Linked DNA regions of Stegostoma tigrinum. The protein of the gene in region 1 purifies or fractionates together with the protein of each later gene. This does not show direct contact. Links are inferred from orthologs where the notes say so. Each region holds a gene or a part of one and is shown in the gene's direction. Other genes may lie near its edges.

The links.
Region 2: the proteins of prkcz (region 1) and llgl1 purify together in Homo sapiens (affinity purification with mass spectrometry; 6 studies listed by BioGRID and IntAct, counting the BioPlex papers as one, with this or other methods). This does not show direct contact. The link is inferred for Stegostoma tigrinum from reciprocal best matches to the Homo sapiens genes PRKCZ and LLGL1.
Region 3: the proteins of prkcz (region 1) and partitioning defective 6 homolog gamma purify together in Homo sapiens (affinity purification with mass spectrometry; 6 studies listed by BioGRID and IntAct, counting the BioPlex papers as one, with this or other methods). This does not show direct contact. The link is inferred for Stegostoma tigrinum from reciprocal best matches to the Homo sapiens genes PRKCZ and PARD6G.

Annotation. Positions count from the first base shown.
Region 1 is NC_081381.1:22,673,710-22,677,460, forward strand, and holds the start of prkcz (protein kinase C zeta type), read left to right. Parts: upstream 1-762; 5' UTR 763-1,149; coding exon 1,150-1,223; intron 1,224-3,751. UniProt on the Homo sapiens protein: Calcium- and diacylglycerol-independent serine/threonine-protein kinase that functions in phosphatidylinositol 3-kinase (PI3K) pathway and mitogen-activated protein (MAP) kinase cascade, and is involved in NF-kappa-B activation, mitogenic signaling, cell proliferation, cell polarity, inflammatory response and maintenance of long-term potentiation (LTP).
Region 2 is NC_081376.1:25,395,404-25,399,154, reverse strand, and holds the start of llgl1 (lethal(2) giant larvae protein homolog 1), read left to right. Parts: upstream 1-1,167; 5' UTR 1,168-1,338; coding exon 1,339-1,419; intron 1,420-3,751. UniProt on the Homo sapiens protein: Cortical cytoskeleton protein found in a complex involved in maintaining cell polarity and epithelial integrity. Involved in the regulation of mitotic spindle orientation, proliferation, differentiation and tissue organization of neuroepithelial cells.
Region 3 is NC_081355.1:34,916,515-34,920,265, reverse strand, and holds the start of partitioning defective 6 homolog gamma, read left to right. Parts: upstream 1-1,128; 5' UTR 1,129-1,306; coding exon 1,307-1,375; intron 1,376-3,751. UniProt on the Homo sapiens protein: Adapter protein involved in asymmetrical cell division and cell polarization processes. May play a role in the formation of epithelial tight junctions. The PARD6-PARD3 complex links GTP-bound Rho small GTPases to atypical protein kinase C proteins.

The DNA of each region.
Region 1 (3,751 bases):
AGGTTTTTTTTGTCAGAATACCAGTCGGGGATGTTATTTACATGCCTTTGGAGCAAGTGACACTTGAACGCAGGTCTCCCAACTCAGTGTTAGTAGGAACTGCTGATGCCGGAGAATCTGAGATATCAAGGTGTAGAGCTAAATGAACACAGCAGGCCAAGCAGCATCAGAGAAAGAAGGGTCTTCACACGCAACTCTCTGATGAAGGGTCTAGGCCCGAAACGTCAGCTTTTGTGCTCCTGAGATGCTGCTTGGCCTGCTGTGTTCATCCAGCTCCACACTATTATCTTGGAATTCTCCAGCATCTGCAGTTCCCATTATCTCTTCACACGAAACGTCAGTTTTCCTGCTCCTCTAATGCTGCCTGGCCTGCTGTGTTCATCCAGCTCTACACCTTGTTATCTCCTAAATCAGTGATGACATTCCGAAAGAGCGTGACGAACGCGATTTCAGTGCAAGGCTTTCATTCTGTTGTTCAGTATGAGAGGCTTCTTGTCTCCCATTGGTTCCAGGTGATTTGGGGAGGGCGGAGGCCGCGATCGGATTGGCGGCAGGTTTTTCATTAAACAACGCAGCCATCCCTTGTTCTATTGGTCAAAGTTCGATTTGTTCCTGATTGGCCAAGGTGGGATTCCGTTCGCCGGTTTGTCCCTCGGGATTGGCTGGGGAGGGAGGGTAGTACAGGTAACTTCTGCTAGAATGTGATTGGTTGTTGATGCGGCTTGTGGTGTCCACGCTGGGGGGGCGGCGCAGGGTGGGAATTGTCGGTTAACCTGTAACCGCCATTTGTGCAGCGCGAGCTTTGCTAGAGTGGCGGGCTACCGGCAGCAACAAGTTTCCTTAGGAGCGCAATCGAGCAAAAAGAAACACGAGTTGATACTTCGTCACGACATTGAATAATAACGAGTTTCATCGAAAGTCTTATGTTCCATCTTTTCTGAAACTTGATTGGCTTCTGTGATTCAATTCGGCTTTTTTTTAAACAAGCAAAGATCTGCTGAGGTTGAAGCTTTGGGTTTTCCTAAAAGGAAAGTGGTGGAATTTGTACTGGAGAAGCAGCGAGAGGCTTTTTCGTAACTGCGCCTTCCTGTCCGAAAGTTTGCGCTGGTTTACTTTGAATCCGTTCGCTGGTGGAGTGTCGATTGTGTCATGCCTACGAGGCTGGATAACAACATGGAGCACGGAACAGGTGACTCGATCAAAGTCAAAGCTCACTACAATGGGTAAGTTAAAATAATTTGACACTCGATAGCTTCCCACAGTATTTACCTAGCATACTATTCGCTTAAGAAAGCGTTTTGTTTTATTGCGTCTCTTAGAAAATTGATTGAAAGATGAAAGCGTTTTCTTCAGGGAAAAACAATTTATCTGTGCGATCATGCTGCTGTGAAACTTTTTTGACACTTTTTTTGTAGGCAGTTACAGAGAAGATATGCAGAGTTTCAAGCATTTTAACACTAACAGTGTATGTTTCCAGTTAATCTATTCGAAAACTATTTATTTTCTTACCATACTAAACATTTGGCTTTGACGTTATTGAACAGGATGCTGTCTAAAGTGCGCTGTTTGTCTAAGAATTTTACGCGTTACATTATTAGACCTGTTAAATATGGGCTAGTTATTTTGATTCCTGTTTTGGTGTGGACATGCTTAAATTATCCTTCAGTGTGAATAATTTGGGGCATCAGCCAAAGGTTGTGACTCTGGTGTTGATCATAAAATCTGTATGACAAAACAAGGATGTCTTAGTCCTTCAGCCCCTGTAGTTATGGGTTTTGTTTTTGCAGGAATTTTAATTTACTAATTCAGGTAATGGCTTCTGTCTGCATAATTTTGAGCTTTTAAATATTACAGCCTTCTAGTGGTTCTGAGTGTTCAGTCTTTTCTCTTCAATTAATTTGCCATTATGTTGGTTGTGATACTGTAAACAAATATAACACCTGGAATTAGATGGCATGCTAAATATTAGGTACGTTTGATTTTTCAAGTCTATCACAACCAAGCACATCTAAAGTTTTTTTTGGTTTGTGACAAAATCTGAAAAACATTTTCGTGACCTCAATTTGCCTATGAGGACCCAACATGGCAGCATCCAGCCAATTAGATTCTACCCATGTGATTGCAACAAACGTCCAAAGACACTGGATACTGCAGAGAATGTGGAGCCTAACAACATTCCAACAATTGTGCTGATAAATCATGCTCCAGCACCAGCCAGGTACCTAGCTGACCTGTTAAAGTACATTTTTCATTAAGGTATCTATGAGAAAATGTGAAAAATTACCCACATATGTTCTGCCCACGTTAAATAGGCTAAATCCAACTTGGTCAGTTATCACTACTTCATTCTTCTCTCAATTATCAACAAACTGACAGCATTGTAGAATAAATCAGTTACTTCAGAAATGACGTGGCAAAAGGAGGACTGAAGGCCATATAATTGGGATTTTACATGTGTAATAGTATACACGTAACCTGAAACCAGAGACACAAACTAAAGCTACTCTATATTGCAGCTTTCAGCCTTGTTACACTCAGGTTGTCTCTTTGCTTGAAGATAAAAAAGATTTTTTTACAGAATTTAGTTTTCTTCCTGTCTCTTCAATGATTTAAATCTCATTGGATTGTTGTTGTTGTTGTTGTTGTCAAGTAGCATGGTGCTGTATTTTCTGGCCACTCTTGTTCAGCCAAACATCTTGTGTGTAGATATAAGGGGAGGCAGTGGCCTAGTGGTATTATCACTGGACTGTTAATCCATAGACTCTCAGTTAATCCAAAGAATCATAGCACGGTGCCTGAGTGGTTAGCACTGCTGCCTCACAGCGCCAGAGACCCGGGTTCAATTCTACACCTCGGACGCCTGTCTGTGTGGAGTTTGCACGTTCTCCTTGTGCTTGTGTGGGTTTCCTCCTGGGTGCTCCAGTTTCCTCCCATGGCTCAGATGTGCGGGCTAGATGGATTGGCCATGTTAAAATTGCCCATAGTATTCAGGGTTGTGTAGATTAGGGGAATGGGGTCTGGGTGGGGTGCTGTGAAGGTCGGTGTGGACTTGTTGGGCCGAAGGGCCTGTTTACACACTAGGGATTCTATATCAAAAATGTATACCTAGGAAATATTTTGGGGTCCCAGGTTTGAATCCCATTGGGCAAATAGAATTTGAATTCAATAAAAATCGGGAATTGAGAGTCTAATGATGATGACCATGAATCCCTTGTTGATTATCAGGAAAAATCCATCTGGTTTGCCCCTGTCTTTTAAGGGAACGAAACTGCCATCAATACCTGGGTAAGGTCTATATGTGACTCCAGACCCACAGCAATGACTCTTAACTGCCCTCTGGGTAATTAGGGGCGGGCAATAAATGCTGGCCTAGCCAGCAACACCCACATCCTGTGAAAGGATTTTTAAAAAATTGCATGATGTGCTTAAGTATTATGTTGGGGAATTTTGAGTTATGACTTTGATTATAATTATAGAGCAGGAATTTGTAAACCTAATGGCTGAACCAGCTTCCTTTGGGAATGCATATCCAATAAATTACTTATCCAACTGACACACAGCAAACTTGATTTTTACTGGGAGCGCAAAGTGAGGAATGCCAAGTTTAAAAACTTTATTATCCAAAAAAAGCCACACTGCAATCTGATATGGATCCCTTTTCATTCCAGTGGAAAACATCAATTTCACCTTTTAGACATAGAACAAGATTTTATTTGTTTGGTTGACACAGCAAAGTGTTTAAAACTGAAAA
Region 2 (3,751 bases), on another chromosome or scaffold:
AGTTCTGAGGAAGGGTGACTTTGATTTTTTTCGTCACAGATGCTGCCAGAAAAGCTGAGCTTTCCCAGCAACTTGTTTTTGTTCCTGATTTACAGCATCTGCAGTTCTTTTGGTTTTTATTTATTGTTGATCTCGCTCTTTCTACATCTTCTAGCCAGAGACTATTTCCCAGGGCAGAAATGGCTAGCACGAGGGGTCATAGTTTTAAGCTGGTTGGTGGAAAGTATAGAGGGGATGTCAGAGGCAGGTTCTTTACGCAGAGAGTTGTGAGAGCATGGAATGCATTGCCAGCAGCAGTTGTGGAAGCAAGGTCATTGGGGTCATTTAAGAGACTGCTGGACATGCATATGGTCACAGAAATTTGAGGGTGCATACATGAGGATCAATGGTCGGCACAACATTGTGGGCTGAAGGGCCTGTTCTGTGCTGTACTGTTCTATGTTCTATGTTCTATGTTCTCTACAGCCAGATTCTATTTCTGTAATGCACTTTGTATGGTATGATCTGCCTGTAATGCATGCTAAACAAAAGTTTTCACTGTATCTATGTACAAGTGACAGTAATAAATCAAATTGAAAAGAATAACACTAGAACTTGAGAGTTATGCCTATCCAAAACAAAACAAACTGAGTCTCTATAAGAATATGAAAGCAGTTGACAGGGCAGATGTACCAAGGATGTTTCCAGGTGCCATAACAATGACAGTCATGAATCTTCGAGGAAATTTAACCAAAAAGTGAAATTAAGATTCTGCGGTCTCTGCTCAAGGTCAATAGCTCGAATGAAGTGAAGGAGAAGCTAGGTAATTACGTGAGGACAAAAGTAATAGGACGAAATGATAAAGGTTGGAAGCAAGCTCCTCTGCAGCATCCATACCATCAGTTTCTGAGGTCACCGGACCCGACACGTTAACTCTGATTTTTTTCTTCACAGATGCTTGCAGACCTGCTGAGCTTTTCCAGCAACTCCTCTGATCGCATCAGCTCGGCTGAATAAGTTTGTTGCCGTATAAACTACATTTCCCAGGATGCAGCAAGAACAGACGGACCAAGAGGTGGATTGGTTGTTCCCAGGTCACATGGGAAAGAGGCTTCTGCTCATTAATTGGTCTCGACGAGGGGTCTCTGATGGCAATCCAGTGGGAGGAGCCAATAGGCGGCCCGTATATGCAGGGGCGGAGCTAACGGGTCGGAGCCGCCACAAAAGGATCAGAGGCGGCCGCGCGCCCCTAAAAAAGAAGCGAGGCGGAGGACAGAGAATCTTTGAATCTTACCAACCAGAGCTAGCCCACCGAAACCGGGGTGGGGATCCTGCCACCGAGATACCATCCCTGGGATCATGATGAAGTTTCGGTTCCGACGGCCGGGCAACGACCCGCAGCGGGAGAAACTAAAACTGGAGCTTTTCGCCTTCAATAAGGTGGGTGCGTGGGTGAGGGGAGGGGAGGGGAGGCCAAGGGCCTGGGGGTTGGGGAGGATAAGGGTGGTGGGGGATAGGGTATAGTGGAGGGTGGGGAGGGAGGAAGGAGGGACGGTCGAAGGGGGATGGGGTGTAGAGGAGGGGGCGTGGGTAAGTGGGAGATGAAACTATATTTTAACCTTTGGGTGACAGAGCCAGTAATCCAGAGGTCTGAACTAGTGACCTAAAGATTTGTTCAAATCTCAGCATAATAGCCGGCGACTTTAAATTCTCAACTGATGCTAGTGCTGGCAATGATAGCCATAAAGCGAGTAATTAATGTAACAACTGATGCTCACTTTCGGGGAGGAGCCTGCCATCAATTGCCATGTACAGGTATAGGCTCACTGTTAACTTGTTCAACAAATGGTCTATCAAGCCACCTGCTTGTAATTCTGAAGACAGTTCATCATTGCTACTTTTTCAAAGGCCATGAGCCATGGACAGTAAATGTTGGTCTGGTCTCTGATGCCCACACTGTGCCAATGCAACTAATTCTTGCCAGTGACCCTCAAAGAGGGTCTCGTGTTCCTCTGCACCTATCTTCTGATTAATTTTGCCTTACAGGTGTTTCACCTCAACCTTGGCTTTAACTTCAGTGCTTCTTTTTTAAAAAGTCAGGTTATTAATTTTGGTTATTGTGAGATGCCTGGCAAGGCTCCTTACGTAAAGGAAAGGAGAGAACTGCAGTGAGATCATGTGTCCTGAGAGCTGGTTTTAGAGTGGCAGTGATTTATTGGCCTTTGCATTGCTTGACAAGCTTGATTGTGACATGCTTAATTAATTTTGTGGTGGTACTTTAAGCAATAACTATCTATATTAGCACACTTTGGTAATGTCCAACTTGAACTGTAAATTGAAGAGTAAAGTCACAGATTTCATTTCAGCATTGAATGCTTGGATGCCTCTAACAAAGTTCAGAATTGGAGCACTTAACAAATGTGACCAGAAACTATGTACTTTCCAAAACAATGGCATTTCTTCACTGGATGGGCATTGGATGTCCCAAGCTTTAGAGCACACTTGTCATGTAGCCCTGAATCTTGGGGTGGGGGGGAAGCCAGTTTGTGCAACATTTGATTGAGGGCACCTCTTTGCACTGGAACATCACTTTGGGCAAACCAACAATACCTTTCACTGTGGTGCTGGCCTTCCAGGTGCAGAGATTTATCTCTGAGCCTTCCAAAGTACAGCCCATAGCGCAGGAAATGCTTCATCGCTGTGCTGCATCAGGACCATCCTCGACTATAATACCACATTGCTGCCAGACCTTCTATGCATAGGCATGTTCCAGAAGGGGTGCCAGCTTAACGACAGTGTGCAGTGCTGCAAAGTCCAGATGTGTGTAAAAGTTGTGTCGGGCTGCACCTGGTGTTTGTGCACAGAAGGCTTTAGCACAGTTTAGAAAGCATTTTGTGCTATTGCACATGTCTTTTCACCATCCCACTTCCAAATCTCTCTTGTAAATGTTGTTCTCACAGCAGACATACTTTGCAAGATGAGATAGCAAGAACTGTAGATGCTGGCGTCAGATAAATGTGGAGCTGGAGGAGCACATCAGGCCAGGCATCATCAGAGGAACAGGAAAGTTCATGTTTCTGGTCAGGACCCTTCTTCAGAAATGGGAGGACGTGAGCTGGAAAATAAACAGGAGAGGTGGGGCTGGTGAAGGTATGTGGGATGGTGTTGAGTGAATGCAGGTAGGGAGTGGTGGGCATTGGTCAGTGGGATGGTTGGGGTAGATAGGTGGGAGATAAGACAGACAGGTTGTGTGACATCAAGGAGATGGGGATGAGGGCAGGGGTGGGGAGATTTTAAAACTGCTAAATTACATATTTGGGCCATGGGGCTGTAGGTTTGTGAGGTGGAATGTGAAGTGTTGTCTGCCAGGTTCCAGGCGTTGTCATTGTAGCACTGGAGGAGGCCTGGGATGGTCATGTCACCCAGGGTGTGGAAGTGGGAGTTAACAGTTGGCAACTGGAAGGTGATATTGTTTGTTGAGTGAAGGGAGCAGATGCCCTATGAAACAGTCTCCAAGTCTTGCTTGGCCTTGCTGATGTAGAGAAGGCCACATTGGGAGCTGTGGATACAGTAGACCAAGTTGGCATGTGCAGGTGATCCCCTGTTGGATATGAAAGGTTTGTTCAGGCCCTTGGAGTGCTATGAGAATAAGGGGATTCTGTCTTTATTTTCATTGGAGCCATGAGGATGAGGGGGCAGGACTGTGGGAAACAGAAGATGTGGTTGAGGTAACAAAGTGTGGAGCTGGATGAACACAGCAGGCCAAGCAGCA
Region 3 (3,751 bases), on another chromosome or scaffold:
CAATGTCAGAATAGAGATTTTCATGTAACATTTTCATTAGATTCAAGGAGTAGTGTATAAGTCTTGATGATGGCACTTTTTTTATGGCCGAGTTTTGGAAGAAGTGTCACTAACCTTACATTTATATAATTGGAGTGTTTTGGTGGTGCATCCAAGATCCTATTCTGGCTGGCCAAACCAACTATCAGTTTTTTCCTTTCCAGTAGAAACTTCAACCCACTGCTTGTTCCTTGGCTATATCAGTTTGGAATCTTGAAAGCTCATGTAATTTAAGTACAGTTCTTCTTTCTTAATGGTCACTTGTGAATATTCTAACATTCAAAGTTCCGAACAGTTTCTGTTCCAGTCACCACCAGCCAAGATGGTGATCCTATGAAGTGTGGGCATGATTTCAACAGGTTAGTGTCCAACCATGATAAATCAACCACCTTTTCAAAGCAATGATCTCAATGATTAGGTAGTTTGTCAGAATCAAAGATAACTTTTTTTTCCATGCCGGTGGTGTGGGTCGTGTGATGACTATACTGAGTGGACTCATAAACCATTCCTCAGATGCAGAAAATGGTGTTTGCTGAAGCGATGGATGGAATGTTCATGGCTTTAACAGGCCTTTTCCGGTGTTTGCACTTGACTTCCCTTTGGGCCTGTTGGGAGATGTCTCAATATTTGCCACCTTCACAGGTGTTTTTCTCCGGTTTGGGTGGTCACGCCTAGACATTCCAATAAATCAGTGGGAATATTGGAATTTTTCAGAAAGGTTTTCTTTCAGAAGGTCCTTGAAGCAATTTATCTGCCCTTGCGGTAGCTGCATGTCAAGACAGAGCTCAAAGTAGAGTTTGTTTTGGAATTCTCGTGTCAGGACATGCAGACCACGTTATTCCTTGGCCCAGAATTCTGGGTTCAAGTCTCATCTCTGAACGTAATATCATGCATAACAGGTCCATACAGATCGTTTTTTTAAAAAAAAGTTAAAGATGTGGCCACACGATACAACGCCAACTACAGTTTGGAAAGAAGACTCCGATGTTACAACGACACTTCGGGGGAGGAGCTTAACGGTTTTACGCGATGACATCGGTACGTGCCAGAGACACTGTTGGAGAAAGAAAGGGTATGCGCGCGCAAGTAGGTGCTTGCTTGCGAGATTGAGTCCGTTCGACAACAATCGGAGGAAGACTCGTTAATGGTCTGATCTTCTCGGAACACTTTCGAATTCCAATTGGAACGACGCAGGGAGCAGCTCGTGCCGGGATTCGGCGCCGCGAGTTCCCATCGCAGAGAAAGAGAAAAACTACTAGCAGGGAGAATGAACAGAAGTTACAAGCCCACCACGCTGAAGTGTTTGGATAGGGTGGCGGTGGAAGTGAAGAGTAAGGTGAGCGGGTGAAAGTTACAAACTAAAAGCCTAGACTGCAGGTCGTGGGGAATGGGTCTTCCTTCACTCGGAGCCAGCGGCTTTAAGTGGGCGCAGTTTGTTTAATGTTTATTACACGACTACGTTGTGGATTCTGTTCCCTTACTTCCCCCCCCTTTCCTGTTTAGAAGTGGAGCGCAACATGTAGGTGTAAACTGAATGGGACACGGAGAGTAGGTTACTTTCAGAATTTTTTTCGGAAATTTCTTGCTTCGATTTTCTTTTCTTTTTTTAAAAAACTGAAGGAATGGAATATTCCGGCCCGTTGATATGAGCCTGTGGCTTCGCTTTTTTCCCGTCTCTGGCGCGTAATAAAAGGTTCAAGGCCAACATCTGGAATATGGTTCACAAACAGAAGTTGCTGGTGAGACTCAGCGGGTCCGGTGGCATTTGTGCGGAGAAAGCAGAGAAAGCAGAGTTAACGTTTCGGGTCCTTTGCCTCTTTCAGAGTGTGTTTCACCCACTTGTGCTTCTTGCCTTCTCTCTCGCAGTCCGGAAAGGTGCTGGAACTGGCATGATCTGGCCACCAAGCACAGGCGCTTAAACCCAGCTGCTGGAGAATTGCTGCCTTTCCTGCGCATTGTGAAGCGTTGTCATTCTCTATGTTATTATCACTATTTGACATTTCTCGGAATCTGTTTGCGTGGGATCAGATCAGGAAAGAGAAATTAGATACAAGAGGAGTTTTTATGTTTTGTTGGTTGGTATTCATTTGATACCAAAGCAGTTCAAGTGTGTAATTACCACACCATTTTGATTGATTTAATGTGCTGTCTAAGATTTGTGATTTTAATAAAATGTGCTGGATGGAAGATTTTGCTGAAAGTTGTACTTGGACAATGGATGCAGCCTATGGGTTTAAATATTGTTGCCACTGAGACTGATTCAATGAAAATGATGTAAAATATGTGAACACCTAGAACAGAAATAGCATTCATTGCCTGGTAGACAACTCAGCATCCAAAGTCATCAAGACAGCATCCCAACAGATTGAGGCTGAAGCCCAAAGACAAACCTGGAAAACAAAGGGACAAAGAGAGAGAAGAGAGAGCCTATTAAATCTGACAGTATGTTGACCATCATGACATTTAAAGATCTTTTGAAGCCACAAGGCATTTGTGGACCAAGGTCAAATGGACAAGACTTCTTTCATTCCCAGGATGAAAATCCTTCCAAGGGATGTAATTGCTGGAAAGAACATTTTCAATAACTCCTTTCCTGTCAGATGATACTTTCAAGGCTATCTCCCCCAAGCCATCCCCCAAAAGTCACAAAAGAGACTATGGTAATTGTCGTCCAGAAGGGAGATGACTTCTGCTGCGGAAACTATCAAGCTGTTTTCCTCTTGGCCATACAGGGAACATTCTGACTCATTTACCTGAATTGTCTTACTTCCAGTGGCTTTAAATCTTCCACAGAAGCTTCTGGTCTTTGTTTTTGATTTTCCCGGTAACAAAATGTCAGGAACTATGCATTGCATTCATCCAAGCACTTAGACTGAGCCTTGCAATTTACTGAGTTATGATTCTCCAAAGAATTTGACGTCCAAGAAACTTCTTCACAATCCTGAAATCACTTCATGGTCACTGACTGCAACAATCTTGAGAATCTGGCCCATTATCAAGCAAGGCTATAAGATAGACTGTAAAGCACGTGGGGACTAACTAACAGTGCAATTCCCTTCATCCAAGATTAGCTGCCATCTTATGTGAAATAAAGAAAATTCTTTAATCCAAGCCACAGCTGAACTGACTCTCATGAACATAACTTGAAGATTGCAGAAGAGTGCACTGTCATTTCTCATAATATGCCATATTTACAAGACAGTCTTCAATTCATACACATGCTCTGCCTAATCTTGATTGTTGCCAAAACAAAGCTCTTAGCAATCTAAACCTGGTAAGTCAAATATTCCAACTTCGATATATGTTGAAGAGGTGATACTGGGATACAGTGATACACTTCCCATACATTTGCAACCATCTGTTTTGCAAGGCCACCATTGATGATGAGATCCGAATAGAATCAGCTGCATCAGCTCAGCCTTCTACATGCCATGGTGGAAGTTTCTATCCACGGTGTCTTTTTCCAACAAAATTCTTCATACAGCTCAATTACACTCCTGTAATTTGCAAAACTAGGACTGTGTACCATTGACACATAGGAGCACCAGATAAATTCCTCGGTCATTGTCTGGGCCACATCCTTTGACTCAATGGGAAGACTATCGAACAAATGCTAGTGTCTTTGTTGAAGACAACTCCACAGACATTCAGATAAATTCCTGTAAAGCCAACAATGATGTAGTGGATACATTTTTCCGATTGCCAAAAACAT